Linked DNA regions of Alligator mississippiensis. The protein of the gene in region 1 interacts with the protein of each later gene in a pairwise test. Links are inferred from orthologs where the notes say so. Each region holds a gene or a part of one and is shown in the gene's direction. Other genes may lie near its edges.

Region 1 (9,820 bases):
GGTTATACCTAAGTCTCAAAGACCTCTGAGGTTTCTGTCTTACTAGACATCACCAACATTTGTATCATGCCAAAGTATTGCAACAAATCTGGGATCAATACAGATCAATATCTGCACAGCATGGCTGCTAGGAGGATCAGTGGATTAACAGGATACAGCCTATGCTCTTCTCTTCCTAAAACAAAACCCTTTGCCATTTGAACTCACGGAGAATCTCTCCCGTTATCAATGGGAGGCCCATCCCATGTAATACCCTTTTTCTGGTTCTGTTAACAAGCACAGATCATTCAATTGCTCTTCATATTTTAATTTAATTTAAATTTTTAGCTTATGAATGTGGAATACCACTACAGAGATGCATTCTTTCTTGGTTTCTGCTCTCCAGTGCAGAACATTCAGCTTGCACACACACCTCTCCAAATCTTCCTTTTTCTCACCCTGTAGCCCCACAAGCAGCATGCTTTGAGCTCACCTTTTTACATTCCATTTTCAACATCTACCATTGTGCAAGTAACAGAATAGCATTTAACTAAAGAGTAAAGGAAACATATTAAAAGAGTAAAGGAAGAGTAAAGGAAGCATATAAAGGAAGCATATAAAGAGTAAAAGAAGCATATAAAGTTCACTGCTATATATTTCTCTCTTCAGAATGCAGCCTGTTCCTTCTTATAATGACTCTTCTAGCAATTAAAGAAATCCATGTGCGAATTTTTTGTTTGCAGCAGCTGCAAGAAATCAAAAGAAAGTTTTTGAGGGATGAGATTTAGAGCTGCCCAGAAACTGAGGGTGTTGTTTGTATTTCCAATAGGATTTTTTTTTAACTGCTCTTCAATTTTGTCAGCATTTTGTGTACTGGGGAAGCACTTGCAAGAAGGGTGTAGGATACAGAGCAAGGGAGAAAGTAGAGTAGAACATACATCTGATTGTCCTGCATGGGACGTGGATTGCTTTATTTGTGATAATTTTTGTAATGATTTTTTTCTTTGGATGAAGGACTTCATATTTTATTTTCACGTTCTTGGCTTCCATTAGACAACTGAAACATCCCTTTCACCTTTTCTTCCAGATCTCCCTCACTGAAACCAATGTTCCCAAACAGTGTAAGGCAGTGGCTCTCAACCATTCTAGGCTCAAGCCTCCACCTTGATAGATCCCCCCTGCCCCGACCAGCATTTAATTTTCACCCATTTTTCTTTTAATATCAGAACAAATATCCGAGCAATTCTTCCATTGAACAGAGCTCAGAAAGCCCACAACAGGTCAGCATGTGTCTAACGTCATGGATCTTTATTTGAAATCTCTTGTGTTTCTCTTGTGAATTGTGTTTGCACCCCTCACAGTGCTAACACTGCGTGACACCCTGCATCACCCTTGACAGGATCTCTTGGTACCCTGGCTGAGACCCACTGGCCTCTCTGTGTGTGAATTTCTTAGGGTGATATCTTCTATTGGACCAACTCTGTAGTTGGGATAAGAAAAGATTTTAAATGTAAAACTTGCTTCCTCATATCTCTGAATATAGGAAGCTAGGCACAGCAAGTTCACTTTTTTTTTTTTAATTTCCTGTCTCAGACCAACTTAGCCAAATCTGTTCCAAAATCCACTGACTGAGCAGAGCTCAATCGTTCAAATCTATGTGGTGCTACCATTGGAAAGTGTCTTTTCTCCCAGATTCTTCAGCCTGGGGCTTTAGATACTCCCAAATCCATTGCAGGCATTGTACGTGCAGGCTGAAGCCCAGAGGTCTTGGGGTTTGGATACCCCAAGTCTCACATGCCCTTAGGCAACAGGCCAAAGGAGCAAGCTAGGGAGAAATCCCTCATCTCCGTAAAATAGGCATGTAGTGAAGATCCTCTCATTGGGAGGCTATAGTAGATTCTTGGAGGGGGGCTAGTCTGCACTGAATTGAACAGACCTCCACCCTTTACTATACACTGTGTTCAAGGTTATCCGACCTCTGCAGAGAGCCACTTTCATGGTATTTCCCCTGCCAGGTAAGTTCACACAAGGAAGGTAAGACTAAGCCATCCCCCCAGTGCCCTTGATCTCCCCATACTCAGCTGCTTCTCTTTTGCTCATGGTGTGTCTGCTACACCTGAGAATTTCTCTCAGCCCCTCTCCTATGCTGTGCCTTGGTTCCTATATTCAGAGACCCAAGGAAGTCTTACCTTCAAAAGCTACTGACTGCTACCAAAAGCTAATAATGAGCTACTGCACAGTAGCACTGTGTGGCACGAAGCGTGATGTGATGCTGCTACACAGGAGTAACGAGCTACTGTGCAGTCAGCATCGCCTAAAAGCCATTAGGGGATGCTACTGTGCAGTCACTCTGGTTACTGCACAGTCACTTAGTACTTGTGTATGCAACTACTAAATGACTGCCCAGTAATGACGGCGCAGTCAGCATCTTGTGTAGACACAGCCAGTCAGTCCAATAAAAGATATCAACGTAAGAAATCCTTGCTTCTCCAAAAGAAATGCTTGAGCACTGGGAGATCAAGGCCTATCAAAAGGAAGAGTGGGGAGACAAGTCAGCTTCACTTTCCCAGGGTTTAAACATTAAAACCAAAATGAAAAAACCACCCCCAAAAACACAATCATTGGGAAAACCTGAGAATGTAGCTATGGTCAAATGAGATATCTGCAGGTCAGGGGAGATCCCCTTATATGAGAGGTGAGTTTAAAATGCAGCCTAAATTTAGAAGTTCCCTGAATTTCCTTGTGGCAAGCATGCTGAGACTCAGTTTTCCTTTCCTTACCTAATGTTAACTAAAAAAGGGAGAAAGATGGAAGTGGGTGAGTTAAAAGGCCCAGAACAAAAATACCATTAACACGATGTCTGGTCTGATGCTACTGTGGACCTATTACTATACCAGTGCATCCGTTTTATCTTTTTTTTTGAGCAGTACCTTACATACCCAAGCTATACTTTATGTTCCAAATGTTAATTCACAGCGGTACAACCTTATGTCTTTGGATCCATAACTCAGGCTGTGTAGTAAAAATCCTTATGAATGTAACTACTGTACTACGCACATTTATATTTTTAACATCAATGTCTTCTAAATGCTTGGTAGAGAATATAGATGTGCATGCATAACTATCCAGGCAATTTAGATAGCAAATATACAGTGTTTCAGTATGAAAGATTTTGTGCATTAATCAGATACACCAAAAATTGAAAAGAAGGGATGTTTTGGAAGTGATCAGGTAATTGTTATGGTAAGAGTCCGTCAGGCAAAACAATGAGGTTGCCGGTGTTTATTCCTTTTGGTTGGTATTAAGCCTAGGTTGGCCATCATAGAGGACAGTCTGGTTGTCCTCTACTGATACAAAACTGGATGCCTTTACATCCTCTGTTTTTCTCTTCAAATAGAGGACATAAAGGGGTCAGGTTTTGTATCAATAGAGGACAGACTAGTGGAAAACTGGAATGCCCTCTATGATGGCCACCCTAATTAAGCCGTATGTTCAAATGTTTTAGTATTGGGACAACAGGTTGTCCGACCTATGAGCTACAAGGGTAGGGAAATGCAATGAGCAAAATCTGCTAAAAGGGTAAAGTATAGGAACAGTTGTGGATTGTGAGCTAGTTTCAGGGTGGAGACAGTGTTGGGTGGACAGTAGGGTGGCCATCATAGAGGACATTCCCATTTTCTGCTCCCCTGCCTTCTATCGATACGAAACCCAACCCCTTTATGTCCTCTATAAAAATAGAGGACATAAAGGCGTCGGGTTTCATATCAATAGAGGACAACCGGACTGTCCTCTACGATGGCCACCCTTGGGGAGAGAAAAATGTCTTCTAAATGCTGCGCCTTCCCTGCATGGAAAGCATTCCTGGATAAAATAGGATTTATGGCCCATGGTATCTCAGTGCTTAGCCCTTGGTACTTAATGCCCAGCCCCTTGTAAGAGTTGTATGAAACAGGATACAGGTTTCCCTCGCTTTGTGCAGGTTTTGTATGTGCAAATTTGCTCTTATGCGATGACTCTTTCATACCAAAACCTTGTTATGTGCAAGGTAAATTCCCTCTTACACAATCAGCGTGGTGGAAGCTCGCGTGGATCTGTGCAACTCGTTCATTGTCTGCAACACTGTTTCTGTAGTTGCCATTCCCATTATGACAGTGCCCTGTGCTTGTGCTGTTGGCGATTCCCAAAACTGTCTTGTAAAAGTGGTAGAAACAGGTCTGGGGGCAGTACAGTCGAGGTCTTGGAGCGTACCCCTATTTGTTACATGGTAAAGTGGGCTGCCTTTGTGCGAATTGGAGTTACGCGCCGTTTTCCAGGGACGCGTGCACCGCATAAAGCGAGGGAAACCTGTATATGGCCCATGATATCTCAGTGCTTAGCTCCTGGTTCTTCCTGCCCAACCCGCCTGGAAGAGTTGTTTGAAATAGGATTTATACCCCATGATATCTGAGTGTTTAGCCCCAGGCTAAATGTACGAGCTGGATGAAATGGAGATATCAGGGGCCATATATCCTGTGTTCAGCCCTTGGCTTTTCACCCCTTTGTATGAGTCGGATGAAACAGGACATACGGCCCCTGATATCTCCGTACTTATCCCTTGGTTTTCTGCCCCTTTGGGCAACCTGAATGAAATCGGATGTATGCCCTATACTATTTCATTCAGCTCACACAAAGGGGCAAAAAACCAAGGGCTACGCATGAAGATATTAGGTGCCATGTCTCTTATTTCATCCAAGCAGGACGAACCCAGGGCTAGCATACACGGCCCCTGATCTCTCAGTCAGGGCTTCGTTCCCTTGGATGAGCTGGATGAAGCCCCTGGCTCCTCAGTGCTCAGCCCCCTTGGATGAAGCCTCCCCTCACCTACCTGCCCGTGTCGGCGGGCGGCGCGGCGCGGCGCGGCGCGGCCCCTCCCCCCGCGCGGGGGCGGCTCCGCTCCGCGCTTCCAACCGCCGCCTTTTGCCCGGCGCCGCGAGGAGCCGCGGGAGGAGGCGGAGGCGGAGGCGGCGGCAGCGGAGGCGGAGGGAGGGAGGCAGCGCGTGCGTGCGCGCCCGCCAGCCGGGTCCCCGTGCGGCGGCGGCAGCAGCGCGAGGCCGAGGCTGTTGTTTACGGGAGCAGCAGGAGGACGGCGGAGGCCTCCCGCCATTTCAGCGCCCTCCTCCCCTCAGGGGGTGATCCTGTGCGCGCGGAGCCGCTTTGTGCGCGGGCAGGGCGCGAGGACGACGCGGAGGAGGGGGGCAGCAGCAGCCCTCCATTCATCGTCCCCCGGGGCCCGGCTCTTCGTCTTCTTTTTTTTTGTTGTTGTTTTTTCATTTAATTGAAGAATAATTGTGCGGGGGAGGGGCACCACCCTTGATTGATTTTTTTGTTGTTGTTGTTATTTTTTGGAGGAGGAGCGGGGTGAAAATGGAGGCTGAGGATGCCCCGCGCCGCCTCCCGCTCGCAGCCGGGCGCCGGGGCTCCCCGCCCGCCGCGCTGACCTGATCCGCCGCGTGTCGGCTTATTTATTGGGGAAGCTTTTTGGTTTTTGTTTTTTTTTGGTTGGAGGGGAAGGGTTGTCTTTCCTCCCCTCCCCCTCATTTTGGGGCTTTTTTTTTTTTTAAATATATATTTATTTTTTAAGTGTTTTTTTTTTTTTCCTCCCCCCCTCTCCCCACCGTTTGTTTGTTTTTGTTTTGTTTCTGGGAACGGGGGGTTTTGTCCGTCGCAAAGGAAAAGGAATGAAGCCTGGCGCCGCACCGGGGTCCCTCGCCTTGCTCTGGGGGCTGCTGCTGGGCTGCGCCGCGCTCTGCCTCTGCCCGGCCAGTGGAGAGAGTGAGTACGGACCGCGGGCGGGTGTGGTGTGGCGTTGTGTTGTTGTCTTTGCACCTCCTGGCCCTGCTCCACCCTTGGAGAAAAGCCCCCCCGGCCTCTCCCCTCCCCAGCTGTCCCTGCGAGCCTCGTGAAGCCGCGAGAAACTCCGGGGGCAGCCTCCGCGCTGCATCGCCCGCAGGAATTGGAGGAGCACGGGGCGCTGCTGCCGCTGCCGCCCTCCTCTCTTGCTCTCGGCTTTGCATGTGTGTGTTTTATCCCCCTTGGGTTTTTTTTGGTTTATTATTATTATTATTATTTTTTTTTTTTGGGGGGGGGTGCAGCAGTCATAGGTTGTTGTCCGGGAGAGGGTGGGGAGACTAATGGGATGGCACTTCCAGCATGGATCCGACTCAGGGTGGGGAGAGGCTGGAAGAGGTGTTGATGACTGGGCAGAGCTAGAGGAGGAGAGAGCAAGGCAGGGTGTTGGGTTCTGGATACGTACATGTGTGTGTGTGTGTGTGCATTGGAGCGGGGGACACGTGTGTGTGTGTGTGTGGGAGGGAGAGACGGGGTTAATTTGTGTGTGTATGCAAGGGACTTGTGCGTTGGGAGGGGAAGTGTATGTGTAGGGTGGGTCTGCATTGGAGCGAGGGGACGTGTGTGTGTGTGTGTGTGTGTGTGTGTGTGTGTGTGTGTGGAAATCCTGCGTTGGAGGGGGAGACGGGGTTCATTTTGTGTGTGCGTTGGAGGGGAAATGTGTGTCCCACCTCTCCAATGCAGACCGACCCTGCACGCACACACGCACATGTGCATGGAAATCCTGCTTTGGAGGGGGGGACGGGGTTCATTTGTGTGTATGCAAGGGACTTGTGCATTGGAGAGGAAATGTGTGCGTGCAGGGTCGGTCTGCATTGGAGAAGGAACACGTGTATGTGTGTGTGTGTGTAAATCCTGCATTGGTGGGGAGACATGGTCCATTTGTGTGTGTGCATGCAAAGGGCTTATGCGTTAGAGGGGAAGGTGTGTGTGTGTGTGTGTGTGTGTAAATCCTGCATTGGGGGGAGACATGGTCCATTTGTTTGTGTGTGTGTGTGAATGCAAAGGGACTTATGCATTGGAGGGGAAACGTGTGTGCATGGAAGTTGTGCCTTCGAGGGGAAACGTGGTTCGCGTGTGTGTGTGTCTGCAAGGAAGTTGTGTATTAGAGGGCTCCCAGGAGTGGGGGGCGTGCATGGAAGTTCAGTGTTGGAGGGGGGGAGGTGGTTGTGCAAACCCGCTCCAGTTTCTGCTGCACAAAGATGTCCGGGTTCTCGCTGCTCTCCATCTCTTCGGACTCTGCTGTTTTAGAGTCTCCAATGTCACGATTCGGCTTTTTGCACCCTGCAAACCTGTGATGCTGGTGATTGCCCGCTCCCTTTCGGAGGTGGGGGGGTGAGATTGCAGCCATGAACAGGCACCTGGGGCTGAGCGGGTTTCCTCGTGGCCAGGGGGGATCCTGTGACTCTAGGGTTGTTTGCATTCAGCTTTAGTCTCCCCTCAATTTTTGAAGGTGGGTGGGGGGCAATGGCATGAAGGGATGATGTTAAAAGGGCTTTTTTTTCTGGTCACATCATTTGGCCTCTCTCTGTTTTGCCTTGTAGTCTCTGCTCAGGAATAGGATATTTCCTTGCATTTAGGGATGTAAAAACCTAACTAGTGAGCAGTAATTTGTCTTTATTTCTGGAAAGGGGGGGGGCAGGAGAGGGAGAGCAGGTTTGATCTTTCAGCAGGAGAAGGGAACAATTTTGAGGCTGGAAGTTTGCTAATGAATTGGTTTTAGGCTGGAGAAGAGAATGAAGTGCTCTGGATGCACTGGCTGGTAGAGGAGTTGTAGAAATGGTTTGAGGAAGGCTGGGGTCGATGGAGTCTGGTAGGCATGTTGAGTAAGACTGCTTGTCTTTGCACAGTGCTTGCCAATTAACTCTTTGAAAATTAGGGCACAGTTTTGCCTTGTGTGCTCTGGCAGGGCTGGAGAGGCGCCTTCTGTCTTGGAGGGGCAGGACCTTTTTGGCTAGAGCTGCCTTGGAGAGATCCTTAGGTTTAAAAACTGAAAGCCAGTGCTTGTCTTCAGGAAAAGGCTTACAAAAAAGAAAGACAGACTAGTGTAAAGGAAATGAAAAAGAACTTGAGAGACCAGGTCCAGTGTATTTTTAAATGGCCAGGTTTAAATTATTTTTTTAACAACTTATGAATAGCATCTTCAAATAGGGCTCTTGCTCCTCATAGCCATTCTTTTAAAATCAAGCACTAGTAACATTGTAGGGTTCAGCATTTGGTCCTATAAAATGTTTGCACAAGGAATAGCTTTTATTGTTTGTGGAGTACCTGGGTATTTAATTTTAAACTTGACCAGATACACCGAGGAACTTCTCTGAGCTGAACAGTGCCTCTAATCAAATCCTGTCTGCAGTTCACAATGTTAATAGTCTGTGTTTTTGCGAGTTATTACAGAAAGAATTTTGCTGTTAGGGGGAAAAATGATCTCCCAAGCAGATGTTTTGCATCACTTCATATTCTTCCCTCTCCCCACAATTGTGGAAGGAAGATTAATCTTAATTTTTATTTGTTTTTCTTCTATAATGTGTCACAGCCAAAAGGCACTTCCATTTTCGGTCAAACAAGCAAGGCATTCCTAAATAGGAATACAAAGGAATTACAACAGGGAGGAAGAAAGATTTTAGATTAAGAAAAATCTATCTGAGATCCAAAGATCGAAGCATGTTTAAAATGCAGGTAATGTAAAAGGGAAGGTTCTAATCAATAACAAAGATTGAGAAAAATATTCAGAATGAACCAGGGTTTAAACATAAACCCAAAATAACCCTCTCCCCCCCTCGCAAGCCCCCCCCCCCCAAAAAAACAAAACAAAACAAACCAACCAAACCAAACAACAACCCACCACAATTTCATTTGGAAAAAGAATGTAGGTATGGTCAACTGTAAGATATCTGCAGGTCAGGGGAGAACCCCATTACGTAAAAGGTGAGTTTAAAATGCAGCCTACATTTAGAATTTCCCTGAATGTCCCTGTGGCAAGCATGCTGAGACTCAGTTTTCCTTTTCTCACCTAATGTTAACTGAAAAAGGGAGAAAGATGGAAGCGGGTGAGTTAAAAGGCCCAGAACAAAAATACCTTTAACACAATATCTGGTCTGATGCTACTGTGGACCTATTACTATACCAGTGCATCCGTTTTATCTTTTTTTGAGCATTACCTTACATATCCGAGCTATGCTTTATGTTCCAAATGTTAATTCATAGCGGTACATCCTTTTGTCTTTGGATCCATAACTCGGGCTGCGTAGTAAAAATCCTTATGAATGTAACTATTGTACTACGCACATTTATATGTTTAACATCACTGTCTTCTAAATGCTTGGTAGAGAATATAGATGTGCATACATAACTATCCAGGCAATTTAGATGGCAAATATACAGTATGAAGGGTTTCAGAATGAAGGGTTTTGTGCATTAATCAGATGCACCAAAAATAGAAGAGAGGGGATGTTTTGGAAGTAATCAGGCAATTGTTATGGTAAGAGTCTGTCAGGAGAAACAGTGAGGTTGCTGGTGCTTATTACTTTTTTGTTGGTATTAAGCCATATGCTCAAATGTTTTGGTACCAGTATTGGGACAATGGGTTGTATGACTCATTAGCTACAAGGGTAGGGAAATGCAATGAGCTAAATCTGTTAAAAGGGTAAAGTATAGGAACAGTTGTTGATTGTGATCTAGTTTCAGTGTGGAGACAGTGTTGGGTGAAGAGAGAGATGTTTTTCTTTCAGTAAAGTAAAAGGAATCCAGCTAGCACTTGATTAGATAACTTGTGAAAAAAGAATGGTTTTTAATAGAAGCAGAAAAAGGCTAGGAAGTGAAGAATAAGTCCAGCTAGTTTTTAGACTGTCATCAAATAAATTAATTTTCTGGTGTTAAGAGTGGGGATTGTTTGGATTGTATAATCTGGTAAAAAATCTGACACACAAAAAAACCTTCCTTTTTTATCAGAGGAATT
Region 2 (10,849 bases), on another chromosome or scaffold:
AGAAATTATTGAGGATGATCCTACAGCTCTAAATTTTGTGGGAGGTTTATGCATCCATTAATAAAATGTGAATACAGGCAGTCCTCAACTTACAACATTTCGCACTTACAACGTTTATAAATTGACACCCTGTTTCAACTTTATGACATCAGTTTCAACTTTACAATGCCTGATCCAATGCAACACCACGCCATGCCAGCAAACAAATTCGCTGCGTCACTCAAATCCCTGGAGAACATCTGTCCAAACTTCCTTGGACACTGTCTTTCAGAAAGCAGACAAGACTCCAGAAAAACCTGCAGCCAAGACTCCTGAGAAGACTCCAGCCAAGAACCCTTCAAAAAGTCCAGCAAAGTCACCTCAAAGAAGTCCTGCCAAATCAGTGATTGCTACTTACAATATAAATATATTAATGTAGCTATATTACTCATGAATAATTGATCAGGTACAATATTCTCAGGTATTTTTGGTGAAAATAGGGTATGGGGCCTTGGTTCAGGAACCAATCTCTCATTTATAACATTGTTTCTTACGAGAAAATTGGTTCCAAGTTGCAACATTTCAACTTACAATTGGTTCCTGAAAACCGCATCTTGTCTAGTCCAAGGACTGCCTGTATCCATAATTTTGGCAACACTGTGTGAGAGAGAACTGTAGCACTGCTTTCATGGTACCATGTCAGTTTAATATGATAACTCATGCTACATTATGGTATCTCATGTGAAACAAAAGAGTTTCAAAACAGAAAAATAACACTTTTGATTTGGCATGATATTCCAAACTAAAGCTGCATGATGACTGAAAACTAGATGATTCACTTTTGATATAGTACGCTCCAGATACCATATTGCTGCAAGACGCTGCCATACCCAGATGTAGGAAAAAGTGATGATCCTTCATGGAGACAGCAGGATGTCATTTCTCAGTGGAATTGCACTGATTTATTTATTTATTTATTTATTTATTTATTTTTTTGTAGTGACACCTCAAACTTTCCAGAATGCAAGAGTGCTGCAGCCTCTTGGGCTGTGCCCATGTCTGGCCTTTTCGCCATAAATTTGATCACTTCCACAGGCTCTCTGCATTACATAAGAACAGACCTGCCACCCTGGGTCGACCAAAGCTTCAGCTAGCCCAGTAGCCTGTCTCTTAACACTGGCTAGTCATGTCTGTCTCCAGCAGCGGCAAGTAATAGAGAAAGGATAATAAGAAACAGGGCAGGTGGAGAAGAATACAGTTTGTCAGACCCTCCCAGTTAGCAACAGGTGGAGGGATATCTCCCGGATTTTTTGAACACCTGCTGCCAAATTTCCAGACCTTGGGGGAGCACCGCAGGCTGGATTGTGGGCCTGTGCAGGGGCAGATCCAGGGGTGCACTAGTGCGTTCGTACCCCTCTTTGATTCTTGCCACCTGAAGTTTAAAACCAACAGTGCTAGTGAGTAAGGCTATGCAAAATTTTGCCAGGTGTTTCATTTCGAAGCCATTTTGAGCTCAAAACAGCTAAATTAAAATGAAACAAAAGGCTCTGAAACAGCAAAATTAAAATGAAACGAGGGCACTTGAAACATTTCAGAAGTTTCAAAATGTTTTGAGTTTTGAAGCTGGGCTGACTTGGCTTCAGGGCCAGTCCCAGGCAGCAGTGGCAGCCTCCTTTCATCCAGGGCGCAAATCTGTGGGCAAGCCTGCACCCCTGGGAGGAGTCCAGCACAGCCCCGCAGCCCTCCCAGGGGTGCGAGATGGGAGGAGGCTACCACTGTCGGCAAGTGTCATGAGTTTTGCTTTGAACAGTTTGAGGTGGTTTCTCAGAAACCCTTACACCTAGCTCCTTGAAACGTGGCAGGCTTCATACCCTCAGAAGGGGCTACCACCCCTACAATTTTCATCCGAATCAGGAAAGAAATGACAGAATTTAGGGATTTTCATAATTCCCCATTATAGCCTATGGGCAAAACATAGAAGTGCATCGAAACCTCAAAACAGTTTTGACAAAACGAAATGGGACAGCGCTTCCAAAACAAAACAAATCAAAACACTGTCCCTTTGAAATGTCAAAATGCGTTGAAACAGCAAAATGGTTTTGATGAAACAAAATGGGACAGCGCTTTGAAACGAAAAACTGTCCCTTCAAAATGTCGAAACCTGTCAAAACAGTTTCGACAAAACGGAACCGTGCTTTGCAATGAAACTATTAAACGAAACACTGTCCCTTCGAAACGCATCGAAACAGCAAAAGTTTTGACGAAACGAAACAGAACAGCGCTTCAAAACAAAACGACCAAAGAAACTCTCTCTCTTTGAAATGACGAAACAGGCATCAAAACCACACAGTAGTGAGGCGGCGTGGACCAAGACCCTTCACTTCACTCCTCCCTGTCTACCGCATCCCTGCCAAACCCCTGCTCCAGTGGTGCTCCCCCCTGGCCCAGCCTTGGCTGCAGGCTCGGGTCCCTGCTCCTGGGGAGGAAGCTGCTATTTCCCAGCCCCGCGGACTGTCCTGAGCTCGTTCTGGGGAAGCCTGTTGGTTTTTACTTCCGTCAAACTGCAGAGCCTGGGCCTAATTTGTTTTTTCACGAGAGAAAAAAACGAGTGTTGTTGCATATGAGGAGAACTCCCCTACCCCGTCCTGCACCGCGTGCTCCCAGGTCTGATCCACAGCCGCCACAGGGCGGGGGCGGGGGAGGCAGGACACGCCCCACGGCTGCCAAGCGCTGCAGGGCCGCCTGCGGTGGGGGGCGGTGCCCGGGGAGGCCCCGCCCACAGGTGGCGGCGGCCAGGTGTGGGGGGCGGGGCAGTGCTGAGGGAGGCCGCTCGCGCGAGGGGGCGGAGTCAAGAAGAAAGGGCGGGGGGGCGGGGCCAGGCCTCTCCTCTCCTTTCGCCCCCTCCCCTTTCCCCAGTTGCTATGACAGCCGTGAGGTTTCCCTCCCCCCCCGCCTCGCACCGCGGCCCCGATGGCCCAATGGGGAGGGGGGTAAGGGGTGGGGACTCGCGGGCACCGGAAGGGGCGTGGCGCGGGCGCCGGAAGTGGGTGCTGGAGCCGCAGGGCGTGTGTGCGTGTGAGGGAGCCCAGCGGCTGCCGCGCTCGGAGCCTTCCGACCCGCCTGGCCCCGCGTCCCCGGTGTGAGCCGCCGCCGCCAGGTGAGAGCCCTGCGCCGGCAGCTGGGTGGGGCACGGTGGAGGCCGCAGCGGGATTGCCGGGCGGGCCCCGGGGCTGGGCCGGGGCTGACCTACGCCCGGGGGTGATTGTGCCGCCGGGCGGGCTCGCGGCCTGCGCCGCGCCCGGGAGGGAAGGGCGGAGGCCTCAGGCCGCTGAGAGGTAACAGTGCGAGGCGCTGCGCTGCGCCGCCGGGCGGGAGCTGGGAGCGCCGCCTCCCGCGGGAGCGCCAGCCTCGCCGCGCCCCGCCCCGCCCGCCTGAGTCACTTCCCCGGGCTCCGGCCCGCGCTCACCTGTGCAGGCGGGGCGGGGCCGGGCCCGGTCTCCTGGGCCGGGCGCAGCGCCAGCCCTGCCCTCGCCCAGGCCTCCCCGGGCACAGCTTTGGGACGTGCCTCCAATGGCTTCCTGGGCTGAGGTCCCCTCGCGGCCTCTGCCAGTGCCGGGGGTGGGGCGCTCTCCATGGCTGCTTCTGTCTCTTTCAGGGAGGATATTCTAGAGAGATCTCCAGCCAGGAGGGGAAGGGGGTGCGGGTGCCTGTCTTGAAGGCTGTATAGAGTGAGATACAAATACAGGAGAGGGGGAAAGGTTTCTCTTTTTTTTCCTTTCCGTTTAAAGCAGAGGTGGATTTGGGGAGGCTGCCAGACAGACAAAGGTGCTTTTAGCCTAGGGCCCAATGCTAAATAGTGTCTAGAGCTCATAACGATCCCCAGCACCTGCTTGGAAGCATTTGTAGCCAGTAGCATCCCAGTGTTCTTGCAGATACACTGCCAGCAGAGTCTCATCTAAGTAATGGTTCCCAGCAAGTGGATAAGTGCTTCCATTTAGTGAAGTTATAGTAACACAGTAGTAGAGGAGCAAAATGAGTGTTGTGTTATGCTTTTAAAGCTAAATTCTCTTAAATAGCCTGGAAATGTGTTAGCTTGTAAAATCTTACAGCTTTAGGAGAGGTTCAGTTACCTAAGTCAGAAATCTTACATGTGCAGTGGCCTTTAGTTAGAAGATTTCAGTATCTTTTTTGTTGCTTCTTAAATTTTTTTTTCCTTCAAAGCAGAGTGTATTAAAAATGTATCCTTGTCAGTTTAGGATGCACTTTATCCCTATAATCTAGAGGTGCAGGATAGGGGAAACAGTGTTTTGTTCACTGCTTGCAGCCCAAGGTTGTGGGCCTCTTACAAATAGGATTGCAAAGAAAGCATCCTTACCGTATAATCATTTTAAGTTTTATCTTTATTAAAGATCTTGTGTTAAGTACCAGTGGGTGAAATATAAAGAACTTTTGGAGCCCATTGCAATCCTTCTAACACAGCTGTATCAATATACTATGTTCTGATCTGTAGTAACCTTGCTTTTCTAGGGCTGAGGGTTTTTTAAGAAGATTTGGACAAGAACATGGCTTTTATGATGTGTGCAAATCAACTGGGATGTAACTGAGTTGTAGCACAAGCACAGATTTGAATTATGAAGCAACAAAAAACTAGTACTTTTATTCACCTAGTGCCATAATAGCACATTATAATAAAACTAAAGGCCTATAATGTTGTGGTTTCTCATTGCCACAGTTTTATCCCACCTCATAATATAAATGCTCTCACTTTATTGTTGCTGAAGGTGATTTACCTCTGCTATGAATGTTTTGTTTTGGCATAAATTTTACACCTGAGGGAAAAGTGTTTTTGTTTTTGGAAAACTCGCTACTTCCATCTGGATGCTAGCCAAAAACAATTATGCTAGCTGGAACAAAAAAGTGTAACCATATTAAGTGTACTATATGCAAGAGCTATATTCCTGTCTCCACCTACAGCTGTCTTTATGCATATATGTGCATATTGACTTCAACAGAACAGAATGGCCCTGCTCCCAGGAACCTACATGACAAAGAGCATTATAAGAGGTGTCAAAGATGGGGAAAGATGATGTAGGGGAGGGTGGTGGCTATCTAGGAAAAGTTCATTAGATGTGCTTTACTGGCTTTTCTCTTCAGATAATGTATGGGGCAGCATTTGGGTTGAAGGCCAAAGTGGAAGGTTTGTTGGAAAAAAAACAAGTCTGACATACTTGGGAGGCTAGTGAGGCTTCATGACACACAGACAAGGAGGAGGGCTGTGCCTGGTGCTGTGCTGCCTCTTTTAAAGCCAGAGGATATGCAGAGTACACTTTATTACTCGTAGCGTAATCCTGACTTGTAGTAGTAGAAGGCAGGTGAGCTTTCAATGCTTATATAAACCTTACAGGGCACATATATTTGCCTGGGAAGTCATTTTTAGCAATACATGTGCTATTTGGGGGAAGCATTCTATTTCCATTAACTTTAAGTGATGCATAGGGTATTTTTGTGGAAAGGAAATGAATGAGAAATGTTGATGAATAATCTATTTAGTTTCCAGTGCTCTCCTTCATCACTCCTAAATTCCCTAAGTCAAGATAAAGAGCACAACTTGGGGCTAAGCAAGAGGCCCACTACTTTTTTTTAAGTGGGGGGAGGGTGCAAACAGGACTCCTTGTGTTTTATTTGGAAGGTGCTGAGAAACAAAGCCATTCCAGTTCTATAATAGAGAACCCATAAGCAGTGATGCCTGTGGCATAGTGTTTGCCAGTGAGGCTCAACCTTTTTTTCCCCTGGAGGCTGGATCTGGTTGGTGATTCCAGTCTGGCAGGCATGGTGAGCATCATCTGGCCACGTGGAGGAGAGTGGGAACCAATCCATCCCCATCCTGGCACTGCAGGATGGGGAAGGGGGCTTGGTTTGGCCTTGGGGGGTGGGGGGGAAGAGTCATGGCATGACTTCAACCCATCCCCATGGGAAGAGGCAGAGGGGTGCAGCCCAGCTTTAACTGGATGTGCAAGGCTTGGAGTTCGGCGGAGGGGGAAGGTGGCCATATTAATGGCTATCATTTCTCCACAGCCAAATTTCCTGACTCATGGGGACCCTTGCAGACTAGATTCCAAGGCTCTGTGGGCTGCATTTGTCCTCTGGACCCAGAGGTTGAGGAGACCTGGTATATTATACACATTATATACTGATACTGTAAAACAGTTGACAGGTATGTGACTGTCCTCTGAAGGAACCTCTTTTGTTCCTTTCTGTTTTATAGATGGCTGTCTTGGTAATCTGAATCCCCATTTAAGTTTCTGACTTGTAGAACTGAGCTTTGAAGCTGCATAAGTACCATTTGCTTGATATATAGATTTTTTTTCTGTTTGGGTGTTTTGCCATATTAACAAAGTCCCTAGCTAAAATCCAATGTGAGATAGCCAAATGATGTTGGTTTTTAGTATGCAGCCTCCTCCAGTATAGGCCTGTTGCTTGTTCCAGTTGCAAACTGGTGGCCTTGTTCTCAAAGGTATACAATTTTGTCACTTGACCAAGGGTGGATTTAACTGAACTTCTCCAGAGGGGAAAGGTTAAGGTATTAATCCACTCTTCTGCCTGTTGCCTTAGTGACCTGTGTGTTAAAGTTTTTAAACCAATAATTACATTACTTTCTTTCTCTAATAGAGAGGTGCATGACTAATTAGTTCTAGTGCTTGCTCTACAGAAATACAATTTAAAAAAGGTCCTTGAGAACAGCAGATTTCAGACTGATGGAAATTTATTAGTATTGTCTTCCCAGTTAAGTATATTACATAAGTCAGATCTCTTCAGTGTCAGTTTTTCATTTGCTTTCTATGGTGTTTAAATGCAGTTACTTCTGATCTGTGTTGACTTGGACTTAAATAGATGATGGAGAGTTGGAAGTAGCAATGCCAGAATGCTGGCATGTTCGCTGCCAGGTAGTTCAAGCTTAAAAAGTGGTTTATTTCAACGTAATGTTTTGGGGAATGGAATGTCTACCCATCTTTACTCCTTATCAGTCACTAACACTTTAATTTCATTTCTCCACCTCTTTTCTTGCAGTTCTGTGAGTATACTCTGAAGTTAGGTGCCCTTTTTAAGCTGGCCTTGTCCTCCTGTGCTTTTAACTTTTCTTCCTATCTAAAGCAACCAAGGCCACTATAAATACAATTTACAGACCTATTTTACAAACATATTTTACCTTTGGTCAGACACCATGTTATTTTAAGAAATCCAATCTAGGGCCACTCCTCTAGTGAGCAGTTTCTGCTTAGAACTAGCAAATGTTGCTCTTGATCTTATGTCTTCCATGGCTGTAACTACCCACATACATGGCATGACCATCAGTGCTGTATTAAACAGTCCCTGCCAGTCTTCAACTCCAGTTACTGGTATATGTTGATAATTGCTGCAGATGATTCCCACTAGATGACTTGCGTTTGTAGCCTCCAAACAGTTTCAACTATGGGCCTCCCAAAGATGTGCGTTCCAGGCTATGGCACGCTAATGCAGGGATGCTGAACCCCTGGCCCGCAGGCCAGATCTGGCACTATGTTATCCAACCCCTGGGGGGAGCCCTGGGCCTTGCATACTGGATTGGGTACTCAGTCTCAGCTGATGGGGGTGGGAGGGAGTGGTGCCAGCCCCAGGGCCCAACCCTGGTACCAAAGAGTCTGCTTCAGCCTGTAGACTGGACCCTTGCTGCTCAACTGGCTCTTGGGGCCAAAAGCTTGAAAGACCACTACACTAATCCATTGTAAACTTGGAGCATTGCTTTCAGTTTCTTTATGAGAGGGACAAGTTATAGATGCTGCTTTAGTTTTTTCAAATGTCACTTCTTTCCTTGTATTTTTCTCTTCTGGTGAACAATGGAGTACAAGCCAGCATAGCTCTGCAAAAAACCTTTCTCCAGGCTTCCAACAAGGTAAGCAATGGAGAATAAGATTCTGACCGTATTCCGTTTCTGTTTGACTCTTGTGAAAGTGCTAGTAGGCTCACTGCCAGGTTATGAGCGTTTTGGTGTGGAGAAATGTCTGCCTTTATTGGAAGAAGTTTGTAGCATTTGAATCTTGTTAATTTTACTAAACAGTAGTTCGTAGTTCAGTAGCAAACCTGACAAGGCAGATATTAGCTACTTGACTAGTCAGATCAAGGCATAACTTGAGGCTCAAACACTGTCCTTAATTTTTGGCAAAAATAGACAAATGCAGTTCTAATTGGACCTCAGACTTTAGTAAGCAGCTTAAGGCTGTATTTAGGACAGGCGCATAATTTAGTCGGATAAATAGCTAAGGAAAGAGATATGATGAAAACGTGTCTGTATATTTTGTGCTCATATTTGACAGATAGACTGCTCAGCCAAAGCTGTTTTCTGTACCTGCACTTTTACCCAGTGGCTTTTGATGCCTGCTGAATTCCCTCTTTGCTTCTTCCAATATGTCTTTAAGTGAACTCCGTAACTGCCATGGACTTGCATTTAAAGATAAATATATCAGTAAGCATCGTACTAATAGGACTGCGCAGTTCCTAAACTCAGCTCTGTAAAAGTGACTTGTTTCACAAATTAAAGCACTGCTGGAAAAATACAGATCAAATGTAACACTATCAATTTAATGGTGAAATGACAATTGCCTCAGCAAGCTGCCCTTAAATTTCAGTATGTGGAGTATTTCTGTAAAACAAAACATCCAGATCACATGATAATGGTGGTAAGCTGTGAGCAACTACAGTCAAAATGTTTCTAGTGGCTATACAGCTTTTTTAGGAAATAAGAACATCTCACAACTATGCGGGTCCACTGGCTTATGGTTGGCTTTCATGTAGTATAAAAAGCACTGTGATATTAACATCATGTGGTACCCTGCAGATTGGGCAGAAGGTCACTTGAGAGCAAGTACTTACTAGGTGGAGTATATAAATCGGTAATTTGGGAGCTGTCTGGAAAGCAAAGGATGGCTTATTGGCTTGGAATACAGAGCCTGGGGTAAAAATTGAGTTGGTTCATGTGGTGGTAATAGTAATCAAAAGCTGCTGCCATTTGACTGGTCTCTCATATTAAGCTAACGCACTTCCTAGTAGAAAGTTCCCTTTGTATTATGAATTACCCCCCCCCCCCAATCAGTTGGTACGTTATAGTTTGCAAAAGCTAGTGTGTAATATAAACCAACTACTGTGTGTCCTTAGAGGAGATCCATCCTGAGAGAGATGGAGCCATTAATGAAGCATTAAAAGTTAAATTGCAGTGTTCTTGTCCATACATCATCTGTCTTGGAGAGAGAGAGGTTCAATACAAAGACTAACAGTTTGACACTTTAAAGTGCTAAATGCTTCTGGTTTGGAAGTGCTCCTTGGCACAGAACTGGACAACTATGAAACTGTGTGCGCAAAAGCACTCTCTTTCAGGAAACATCTTTTAGCAACAAGTTTGTTTTGAGCACGTGTCTCAGTGCTAGATCCACAATCAAAGTTAGCTTAGTAAACAAGATTAAGCATGGTTTGCTAACCTAATGGTTGGTGTGCCTGCTTGGGTTCTGGTTCTGGTACAAGAGCTATCATGTAAAATGGTCTGTGAAGTGGGACAGTTTCTATAGGAAGGAGCTATACCTCCCTGGTATAGCTAATAGCCTGGTAGTTAGGGCACTGTCCTGTGACTTAAGAAATGGAGAAGCTAGAGCAAGGAGCAAAAAGCAGAGCATCTGCTTGGCCCAGGGGAAGGGGATCAGAGATGCTCTTATGGAGGGTGCGCGGGTAATTTGTGGCATGCGTGCCAAAAAGGTCAGCCCCATTGCAGTCCTCCATACTTTACAGCAGGGGTTGTCAACCGGGGATACCTCCCCTGCTCTGCATCTGGCTGCTGACTTCCACCCTCCCCCAGGGTACACTTACTAAAAAGGGGGCTGCCAGGGGTACACTTATTAAAAAAGGTTGAAAACCCCTGCTTTTATAGCATTAGTGTAAGCATCAGGCTTGACACTTCGAAGACAAACTTATGTAGAGAAATACCTGAGTAATGTTCCTGGCAGAGCAGTGTAAAACATCTTTTGTTTCCAGGTATTACAGCTTCATTCAGCTCTTTAATCATGTACAAAAGTATTACATGTGACTTCAATGTGTCCAATAAAGGTGTAGGATGACAACAGGAGCTGTCCAGTGTTTCAGATTCTTAGATTGTAGCAACATTGTTCCTGTTACAGAAGGGCATAAGAACTGGCTTTCTTCTGAGTTTGAAAGTGCACCCTCTCCTCTGGGACTTCTTGTAGTGAGGTCATGATGAGCAGGGCATACAGGAGTGATCTGTGAGGGGAACAGGTTGATATATGAAATCATGTATTTTGTTGTATTTGAAGGGATTGTGTTAGAGTTCTTTCAAGACTGATTTGGCTGGCTGCAGCCTTTGAAACATAATGGAAGAGGTTTCTTTATGTGAAGTAATAATCAAAACAAAAACTTAATAACCCTTCTAACAAGTCACTGCTGGGGGGGGGGGGGGGGGGGTTGGAATGAAAGACACTTACTAAAGACTTGTGACTCAGACTGTTCTTTTTAACTTCACCATCCACTTTCAACAACCTGTGCTCTCAAAAGGTATTATTTTAATTTTCTCCTTTTTCAGGAATAACAATGGATAAAAGTGAGCTGGTACAGAAAGCCAAACTGGCTGAACAGGCCGAGCGCTATGATGATATGGCTGCTGCAATGAAGGCTGTTACTGAGCAAGGACATGAACTCTCCAATGAGGAAAGGAATCTACTCTCTGTTGCCTATAAGAACGTGGTTGGTGCCCGTCGGTCTTCTTGGCGTGTCATTTCCAGCATTGAACAGAAAACAGAGAGGAATGAGAAGAAACAGCAGATGGGAAGAGAGT
Region 3 (10,325 bases), on another chromosome or scaffold:
CATAAGCCATCTTTAGCCATCTTATTACAACTGTTCTCACCTATAATCCTCTCTCACCTACTCCTTCCTTTGTCTCTTCTGTTCTTACTCAATTTTTAGTTAAGTGAATGCAAGCAAATGCTGAAGTAGCTTGGAGCCTACTCTGTGAAGCCAGGATGTGTAGTAAGGTTCTGCCACCTTAAACAGCTGGATTTTGCTGCAATCATCAGTTGCTAGCAGGGTCTGTTAATGTGACAGAGGAGTTCTTTGTAGGATAAATTTAATGGGGCTACACTCTGGCAGGGAGTATAACTGGGCATGTGGCAATCAGCAGTGGTATGGCAGGCAGCATCATAATCTGTCAATATTCCCGGCAGCAGAGCAGTCTGCCAGGACTCTGGTTAATTTAAGGCTCTCAATAGATGAGTTTATTTAAACTAGATTTCTAGGGGCACAGCATTTTCTTAAGAGAATTGCATTTCTAGATCCCAGGAACGTATTACAGACCAGGGTTTGAACTCCCTACTCAGTTGTTAATCAATCTCCCTGAGCCAGGGCCGTTGGATTGTGGTCGTGAAAGGGTTTAGATCCCTGTTTTAACTCCAGCTGGTGAGTAAATCAGCTCCTGGAGGGAGCTGGAGAAATGGGTTAAAAGTCTAACGTGGTTCCAAAAAAAACCCAAAAAACCCCCAAAATCCACCTAACAATCCCGATGTGACTGCACCAAAAAAAAAATCTATTCAAGACTGAATAAAAACAAAACCCAGCAAGGGCATAAGAGGATCAGAGCTGGTAATGATTTGTAATCCATAATAATGGAGTGTCTGCTAGCACTGTGCATGCTAGGGAATTTTATGAAATAGGCGTGTTACCATGTCTGGAGGCAAAGTGACCGAGGTCATCATGGGGTGAAGAGATGATGGGATTAAGTCTCACATTTTTAAGCAGTGTCATGGGATCTCAAAAGGCCACTTTGAAGAGTTTCTAAACTCTCAGTGAAAGGGCAGACACACATGCTCACTGAAACATGCAGGAGCACACATGGACACATTGGCATGCAAGCATGTGCCAATTGGTACACCCCCATGCACTGATACACACATGTTTGTGTGTGCCCTATCCACACACGCTGACAGAAACTGGTACAAATGATGAGGCCAGTGCCTGTATGCAGACTAACACACACACACAAACACACACCAGCAGAGTCAGCAGCTCGGTCCCCCTGATGGGCAGTCACCCCGAGTCTCTCTTTTGTGCTCTTTGTCAGCACATGCATGGCTTGTCAGGCTGTCAGAGTCTGACTCAAGTGACCTGGAGCTCCATTTAACTGTTTCACCCAAGTGACAGGCTGAGTCCGTGCCGCTGGACCCAAACTGATGGTCCCAGGAATGCTGCAGAGCTCAAACTCAGGGACAGTTGGCATTCAGCTGTCCCCTCCAGCACATCCATTTTCTCTGCAGCCTCCTGAAGGATCAGGCATTGCTTTGATGGGGCTGTCTAGAGTCATTCCCATCAATGCTTCACTCAGAGGTAGCAGAGGCAAGTGGGTTCAAATTTTCTAGCCCATAGGGCTGCCACTTCCCTTTGTCTGTCCTGTCTACTTAAGCCCTTAGAGCCAAGAGCTATCTCTTCTTTGTGAATGCATAGCTCCTAGCATGACAAGGCCCTGATCTCAGTTGGGGTAGATGAGCGCTAGCATAATATACAGCAAGTCTACCCCACACCACCACCTTCTTTCTAACCTGGGGGCATTACAGCATTCAATTCTGGTGATTCATGGTGCAGAGCCGAGGCAGCTGGTCCAGCCCTAGCTCTGGATATTTGCACAGGGTTTAGTAGCAAACACGCTTAGAATGCAAAGGACTGCTCTGCACGTGGGGCAGATAATGATGCTTAGCTTTGCTGGGCTTATGTAAGCATGGGCAAGAGGGTCTTTGCCACGTGCTGTGGGAGGAGATGGGGTAGGGGCTAACAAGGCACAGCGTGGGATTTAAAAAGCTAGAGTGGGGTTAATCTAATCTATTTGAGATTAAACTGGATTAGAGCAATGGAAGGGGATGGGGGGGATTGTTTCTGCCTTCCTATGTCATGCAGTTCACGGGGAGGACATTCACTTTGACTGATCAGTGGTGGCAGAGGCCTTCTGTATCACCGCCAAATCTGTAGAGGTACTGAGCGGGCTGGATGAATTTGTCCCCTATACAGAAGGAAGCTACAAGCTGCTGAGTTTTGGCTACAGTGGGAAGTGTGCAGCACCACGCAGCATCCTGCTGTCCTGAGCGGTCCCTGGGATGAGCTGCTTGCTTTCTGTGCCTCAGTTTCCCCATGTGAAAAATGACTGCAACATCTAAAGGGCTGCAACAGGGTGCTCTACCCCTTTAAGGGCATCAGGGCCCAGGGCTAGTCAGCTGGGAGTATGTCATATGGTTCCCATAAAGGGCTGAGAGAGCGCAGTGATGTGTATGTGATGGGCCCTGCGGCAGGCAGCCTGTTTTGTTGCAGATTTTTGTGTCCAGTACCTATGTGCGAGGGGAGGGCTGTGAGCAACTGGAGGGAAGCACTGGACTAGTTCTCAGTCCACATGAGTGTCATTAATAGAAGTAATCCAGGCATTGGAGAGAGGCTGCAGTAACTTTATGAATAATGGCTCTAGGCCTCAATGAGATTTCCAGAGTGCAAATCTGCAGCAACTCCAGTCAAACCAACATGCTGGCTCTGCTCTGTTGGCTGCATTTCTCCTACCACAGTGCAGCCTAACTCTCAGAGGAGGCAAATAAATTCTCCTCTAGTAAGAAGGGCAATTATTTCCCCCTCTTCTTCCTCCCCAACCTGGTGTTCCTGCAGTCTTAGAAACTGTTTCACTCTTTGGCGCTGTTTGTATCTAAACAATGCAAAATGTGTACAAGCGCCCTAGATGCACAGGCAGCTGCACCCAGCCCGCCTCCAGGTATCACATCAAAGTCCGCTTGCTCCTTCCTGCTTTTCCCTAATGAACGCTCACCTCTCCTTGTAATCCTGGACCAACCCATCTTCTGGTGTAAATCAGTGTAGTCATACTTGTACTTGCTCATTACACCATGGGTGGATCTGGCCCTTCCCATGACACATTAATAACATTCACACGCATCATTAGACACAAAGAAAACCACATTTCTGTCCCTCCCAAGCCGTTAAAAGGCTTTCCCCATTTGCAATTGGAGACTGATGCCTGCAGAATTGGAGCCAAATGCAACTGTATCTGGTGGGTCTAATTAGCAATCCGGCTAAATAAACCTCACACATGGGGAAGTTGTGGGGGGGTGGTTATAGCAATAGACTCCTTAACAGGCAAGAGTCCTGGCTTCTCAAACTGGCATTTATAAATGACTTCAACTGGAAGTGAGCCCAGAGCTCCAAAGATCTCCGATAATGTGCCATATATTATTAAAGGCAAAGTTGACTCCTGTACATTAGGCCATCCACATCTCTCCCCTGGTAACTATCTCATCTGAGCTAACACATGCATGAGTATCTGAGTGTGAGTAGGGTGTCTGCGTACATGTATGTGCACACAAATAGTGTATGGATGCACCCCAAGAGTCTGTGCACATGAGCATGGATAAACGTCTGTCCATTCATGCTCTCAGATATGGATGTGGGCATAAAGAGACATACCCATGTTTCCAGGCACAGACTGCTGTGCACACAATGGCTTTTTGCTTACATGTACATGACTGCAACTTCACATGACAGCACACGGGAACTTGAAGAGCATGCTATGCCCGTGTTCACACGGTCCTTTGCTAGTTTCTGAACTCAGCACGTGCTGGGCTCATATTTTCTCCTCTGCTCTTGTTTTGCCAGGTTCCATCTAGGCCTCAAAAAGCCAAAACCTCAGCAGAGGATGTATTCTTGCCCACTGGAATAAAAAGCTCCAGAAACCAAACATGAGTAAGAGCCAGTGGGAAGGGCCCACAGTATTTCCAGTCGCTAGTAACATAAGTGTGAGACTTCAGAGAAGCTCTCTGATGTGTTTAAGGGCAGAAATGATGATCGTGTCACTCGGGTGATGAAGCATGGAGGGAAGCCTCCTGCAAGCGGGCCTTTGGAATAGACAGATGTATATGTAGCGGCTGCAACACAGGGCTGGGAGCCAGGACACCTGGTTCTTATGCTCATTTCCCCTAGGGACAGACTCACTGGCCTGGGTGGAGTCCCTTCATCTCCCTGTGCCCAAAAGAGGATTAATGATCATGGCGCTTCAATCTCTCAGTGTGCAAGGCCCTCTAGAAGGACTGTTATGGGGTCAGCAGTGTCTTCAGTGCTGGGTTGTTCTTCCAATGAAACTGTCCTGGATTGCCAAAGATAGCCCATGCTGCCGTGTCCATTGTAGTCATGCCTTTGATGTCAGGGCGCAGCAATGCTGCACAGAATTTCAAATGAAATTTTCTTTAGCAAAGAGCAGATTGCATCCACCCCAGTGCCTAATGGTGTGTGATTCTGGCTGGGCTCTTTAAACCGCCTGTTATTGAGACTCTACCCAGGACATGTTGGTTTGATTATAATTAGGCCGTCGGCAGGACTGGTGTGAATACATAGTGCATTACCTAGCGAGTCGCTGGGTGCAGATCTTTCTTTGCTGAAGCTAAAAAACAGAGATCTGTTCTTCAGAAGGGCTGTTTCAAAGGAGATTAAATAGGGATCTCTTCCTAGGAATCAGCACTAACAGAGAACTACTTTCAGGGTTCGAAGCTGTAATAAGGGATTTCTCCACACAGGGAAAAATACACGGCATAGGGATCTGCTCTCAGGTTGTCCATCAGATGCAGAAAGTATGAATCTGCATCTAGTGATCTCTTAAGAGCTGGTAAACAACTGGTTCTTAATGGCAGAGCAAAGACATCGGTTTGTAGAGATCTCCTGCCACCTGGTATGCATCTGCTGGCCCAGGTCTCCCAGCATGCAGATCCCACAGACCTAACTGCTGGGATCTCCCAGGATGCAAGCAAAAATGAATGTCTGGGGAGAAGGATAGGCTAGTGGTTACGGCATTGGCCAAGATCTGCAATTGGTGTCCAGTTCAGCCACCAACTTCTTCTGGGCAAGCTGCTTTGCTTCAATGCCTCTCGGTACGATAGCCTCCCAGAGACGCTGTGTGGCTAAATGCAGCAGAGGGTGAGGGGCTCAGGGTCTGCAGATACTATGACCTTAATTAGATTGACTGGGATCTCACATGTCATGGTGCCCGAATCTCCTGGCTTGCTGTGGAGTGGGGAGATGCATCTGCAGGGCTCTCCTGTCTGCAGAGCCTGGAGTTCGTTCCCTCCATTGCCTGGCAGCAGGGAGCTTCCCCTTTAAGTTTCCCCCTGGATGCTCCGGAGCTGACGGCTCCACTTTTTTAAGAGGTTTGAATCTTTGGTTAATTGGCTTCCTTAAATACAGAGTGAGAGCGAGAGCCACGGCGCAAAAGGGGGGAACCGAGGAGGCGATGGGTTGGGTTGCCATGGCAACCAGCAGCCGTAGGCTGGCGGGTTGCATGTCACGGAGAGGGAATAATGGCCCTGAAAGGTAAACTTGGCATAGGGATGCTTCCTTTGTCAGGGATGTTTGAACAAGGACAAAACCAGCCGCCAGCCTCTCCCCTTCTGCATCTTGCCAGGGACAGGCAGAGCCGGGGAGATTAACCAGATGGGAATCACCCTCAATCTCATGCCAGCCTCCACCGCACTTTGAACCGCTTCGGCTGGAGCAAAGCGCCGTGTCTGTGACCTCGGCCCACCTCCCCTTCCCCTTCCCTTTCCTCCTGCGAGTCCAGGCTCCGTGGCTTGTCGGTCGATAGTCGCCTGTTGGGGCTCCCCCGTGTCAGGAGATGTTTGAAGATGCGGTAAGTAAAAATAAAAGCTCCTCTGGGGTTTGGTGGGGGAGAGAAGGCGGTAAGGTCAATGCCTGCCGACCTGTGCACTGCTTGAACAGGCATTAGTCCATTCGGAAGGAGCCTTCTTGGCCTTCAGGACATCCAGCAGGAGGTGCTGAGCCAAGCAGTAAAGGGGCTGGTCTGCTACGGCTGTCATATCACCCTTTTTTTCCCAACCTGTGAGCAGTGCTGGAGCCTAATTCTGTAGCATTCGACCCCCGGGCCCAGTTCTGCCCTCTGTAACTCAAATGCCACAATGGCCCATAAGATGCACCCAAAACTCTCATGGAAAATCATTGGGAGTTTTGCCTTGGGTGAAGGTGGCTGGATACTTAAATTACTGGCGCTGAATATCTTTGTGGCTATATGGGGCACATCATGACAGGATGTCAAGTTATGAGATATAGTATGTGTGAGGATCCAGGCAAGAACCGGTTGGTTCATGACAGTGCCTGCAGATCTGGGCACTTTGGGGTGGATTTTACAAAGAAAATTGTCACAGGAAAGCATGGAGCTTTTCATCTTCCAGTGGGGCACATTTCAGTTGTCCAATGAGAGTGGAAACCACATGTGACTATGATGATCAGTCCCAAACCATGAATGATGAAGACTAGGCATCAACTCTTTGCGCCTATTCTCTAGGGAAATGTTTTCATGGGTGCTGTGGTGGATGCAGGATAGCAGGGGATGCTGCATGCAGAAGGGCTCTTGCTCCATGTGAGAGCAGTTCTTCACCAGGAGAAGCAGGCAGTAAGAGAAGAAGAGAAGGAGGTCCCCAGGGATCAAAACCCAAGGAGGAAAGGGTGCTATGTGGAGGACTGAAAGAAAACAGGGCAATCTGCTAACAGATGGAGGAGAGTGTGTGGCAGAAGAGACAGGCCTATGGGAGTTGTTTCAACGGGCCAACCCCAGAGACTGCAAGGCCATGCTGCCTGCCTGGAGCAAACCTCTTAACCATAGACCTGCAGCTGACAAGAATCCACGGATTGTCCTTCACATTGGGATAAGCGGTGCTGCCAGAGGCCCGATGAGATGGACGCAGGCCCTGGGGAAGATGCTCTGGGGGACCATCTGGTGGGATTCATCTGGTCTCTAGAGGGAGGACAAAGGTGTTCCAAGTGATGAAGATCTTCAGGCAGCCAAAGGATTGGGGCTATGAGGCAGCTTTTGGGATATTCAAGCCCTGGAAAATAGTCTCAATGGATAGATCCACCTTAGTACATGGTGGGATTAAGGGTGGCATAGCTGAGGAGAAGAGCGTTAAACCAAAAATGAGAAGGAAAGGTTGAGAGAGACTGGGGTCATTTCCAGACCTGTTGTTAATAACTAGGAAGAGGCCACTCGGGTAAACAAGGGTCTGAAGGGCAAGGAGGCTGGATACTAAGACTGAAGAATATTGCAGTCGAATGGACAGTACAGTTAAAGAACAGTACCTAATTGTCTAGGAAAGTGGGTGAGGCTAGAGATGGCTGTGGGTGAATGCAAGGAGACGGCAGCGAGATGGAAGAATCAGAGCTAGTGCTTCACATCATGGAGCTAGTTATCGTGCCAGAATCATGGCCCTCATGACTGGGACACAGATAGTGAAGGGTGGAGGCTGTAAGAGTGAAAACAGTAAGAGTAGTAAAGCTGGGGGGTTGTCACTGCACTTCAGCAATGGGATGGACTGTGAAGTGGTCAGAAGTGATACCGTGGATTATAGAGTTGGCCTGGGTATAAAATTGCTTTGGGGAAGGCTTGTACAAGATGTTCTTGTGGTATAGTACCAAGGCTATGCTATAGACCCCCAAGGTTGGCTCTGGATGTGGATAGAGTCCTCTGCATTGTCATCAGAGAGAGAAATGCTACCAGGAATTGCATCAATTTGGGAGGCTTTAACTTCCCAGATATAGATCAGAGAACAAATGAACTAAAAATGGCTGAGCCTGGTTATTCTTGGGTGGGACAGATAACAGATTTCTTCACCCATTGCTGAACCCAGAAGCTATTTTAAACGTAGTTGGTTTAATATTTTAGAAAAGAGCTAGCTGGGGAGAAATCAAGAAGCCTGGATTGAGTGATCATGAGTTAATTTAGTTTAATGGAAATGGAAAGATTTTTAAAAAATCAGTCATTAAAGCTGACAATGAGAAAAGGATGAACTTTGAGAAATTAAGAGAACAAGTTATTCAAGTCTACTGGGGTGAAGAAGTTAGGAACTTATATCTGGAGGAGGTCTAGTATTTCCTTAAGTCAGAGGCACAAAAACTATTTGATCTGTTCTGACTGATCTAGTCTGAAAGGTATGTCTTGGAGGTCTGGAAGTGTCAGGATAATGGGGGAACTGTAAGTCGAGTTAGGCTAAACAGATAGAAGAAGGTTCTTCAATTGCTTCAGTAAAATGGGAGCTATAAAAGAAGCTGCACTGCTATGCAGTGAGGATGGAGTGGAGGTGAACGACATGTTGGCATTGGCCCCACAGCTAAATGAAGTGTTTTCAGTAAGGAGCCTATTCTAGCATGGCGCAGGGGGGGCAAAGTGTATAGCAATGGAGGCTGCCACATCTGTGGAGGAAGCGAAAACCAAGGTGCTCTATGTGTTCATGTTAGAGGGTGGCTGGATATTCTTGATCCCACTGGCACATGAAATCAAGGTTTCTCACAAATTCTGTCACATCAGGGTGAGATGCCTGGTTAATGGCAAATGTAGCACCTCTCTTTAAAAAAGGGATAGTGGGGGAAAGTGGTCCTGGAAACTACAGAGCAGTTGTTCTGGTCTCAGTTGCTCTCAAGGTTTTAGAACAAAACGGAAGGACTGAAAAAATGCTGAGAAGCAAATGGGAAAAGGACAAATGCAACATGGTTTGACTGGAGGTAGATGCATTGAACTAACCTGGTGTCTTTGAGAAAACCCTGGGCCATGGAGATATGGGGATAGGGAGAACAGGAGAGCTGATTGGCAGACTGGGGATTTTGTTTAGGGGCTGCTGGTCCTTCCCTGAAGGTTTCATCCTCTGTGTCGGGAGCACTTTGACCCTGGGATGCGTCAGGTGTGGCATTTCCAGCAGAGATGGGGCACATTGAACTGGTGAGATACACCTGAGAGACTGGGTGCAATTCTGGGCACCCATGTTCAAGAGAGAGGAACTCAAACTGCACTGGGTGTAGAGAAGTGAGGCAGGAAGCCCTGTTCTCTGGAAGGAGACTGAAAGAGCTTGGCTTGCTTACTGCAACAAGGCAAAGACTGAGAGGGGAATACAGATGCTGTCTCTAAATACATCCAGGTGGGGAGACACCCCAGGGAGAGAGAAGAGCTGGTGAAATGTTGGTGCAAGAACAAAAGGCTGGAAATTTGAATAAATTCAGGGTTAAACTAGAAGCAAATTTCTAGCCATCAATGAAATGAGGGTCTGGTACCAACCGTTAATAGGAGTAACAGTGCAGACAATCAACTTGGTCTGATGAGTTATATGTGATGTGACTGCCTGTGATGGCAGGGGCTGCATTTAGTGAGTCAGGAGGTCCCTTCTTGTCTTTTGTCCTTTGTTCATCTTTAGAGTATTACGACTGAATGAATCCAATGATGGGATCACAGTTAATAACCTGAGATGCTCCTGAGCTCCACTGGGATCTCACAGTTGGACTTCAGCTGACAGGAGTCCAGGAGAAGCAGATTCCTCACCCTGAGTGGGGCTGAGTGGGCCCTGGCTCTAGGGCAGTACCAACTATTAAGCATCTTTATGTCACACTAAATAGAAGAGGATACAGTCCTCATTTGGTACATGAGAGACCTGGACAGTTTTCCCAGCTCTGTCACGGTGTCTCATCTGTACAAGAGAGCTAATGTCCTCTTTGTGAACACACTGAAGAGCTTCCTTAAACTCTCAGACCAGGTTATTTCAGCGCAAAGTGGGTTTTATTCCTTCCTCTCACATCCCTTTCACCAAAGCACAAATGATACGTAGCTGCTTCTCATGTTCACTGCACTGACCGGGATCTTCTCCCTTTCCTTTCCTATGCCTGTTCCACCAACAAATGCATCATTCAGATCACAAACAGCTGCTAAGGATGGAGTCTCAGACTGCAATTATATCCCACAGTCCAAATAAATACAGTAAGGGAGCCAGATTTACATAGCCGAGCCCGAGTGATTTCATCCGTTTTCATCCTGAAACTGAGAAAATAAGGAAGAGGCGGCGTTTTGCCCATCTCACAGCACACAAAGTAAGAAGGGCCAGATTTGCCAAGTTGGGCACTTGAATTTATAGATAGGGACTAAGTGGGATTTTTCAAGAGCATATAGAGAAGAGGCCCTTTGAAAACCAAGGCATTCCTGAAGAAGCCTCTGGGTCCTTATCTGAGTGTTCAAGTGTCCCCAGGCAGGGAATTAGCCACAAGCCCATTGTTAATACAATGCAGGGAACAAGGAAGAACCTTCCTCCAGAGCTCAGTGGGTCTTTGCCTTCTGCCTG

The links. The genes of interacting proteins can lie anywhere in the genome.
Region 2: the proteins of IGF1R (region 1) and YWHAB interact in a two-hybrid assay, tested with the Homo sapiens proteins (2 studies listed by IntAct). The link is inferred for Alligator mississippiensis from reciprocal best matches to the Homo sapiens genes IGF1R and YWHAB.
Region 3: the proteins of IGF1R (region 1) and KCNIP3 interact in binary tests that used the Homo sapiens proteins (3 or more experiments, as listed by UniProt). The two-hybrid records come from large-scale screens. The link is inferred for Alligator mississippiensis from reciprocal best matches to the Homo sapiens genes IGF1R and KCNIP3.

The regions. Positions count from the first base shown.
Region 1 is NC_081834.1:8,251,943-8,261,762, forward strand, and holds the start of IGF1R (insulin-like growth factor 1 receptor), read left to right. Parts: upstream 1-5,014; 5' UTR 5,015-5,696; coding exon 5,697-5,790; intron 5,791-9,820. UniProt on the Homo sapiens protein: Receptor tyrosine kinase which mediates actions of insulin-like growth factor 1 (IGF1). Binds IGF1 with high affinity and IGF2 and insulin (INS) with a lower affinity. The activated IGF1R is involved in cell growth and survival control.
Region 2 is NC_081832.1:16,778,310-16,789,158, forward strand, and holds the start of YWHAB (14-3-3 protein beta/alpha), read left to right. Parts: upstream 1-6,018; 5' UTR 6,019-6,033; coding exon 6,034-6,193; intron 6,194-10,597; coding exon 10,598-10,849. UniProt on the Homo sapiens protein: Adapter protein implicated in the regulation of a large spectrum of both general and specialized signaling pathways. Binds to a large number of partners, usually by recognition of a phosphoserine or phosphothreonine motif.
Region 3 is NC_081830.1:11,261,874-11,272,198, reverse strand, and holds the start of KCNIP3 (calsenilin), read left to right. Parts: upstream 1-5,494; 5' UTR 5,495-5,830; coding exon 5,831-5,845; intron 5,846-10,325. UniProt on the Homo sapiens protein: Calcium-dependent transcriptional repressor that binds to the DRE element of genes including PDYN and FOS. Affinity for DNA is reduced upon binding to calcium and enhanced by binding to magnesium. Seems to be involved in nociception.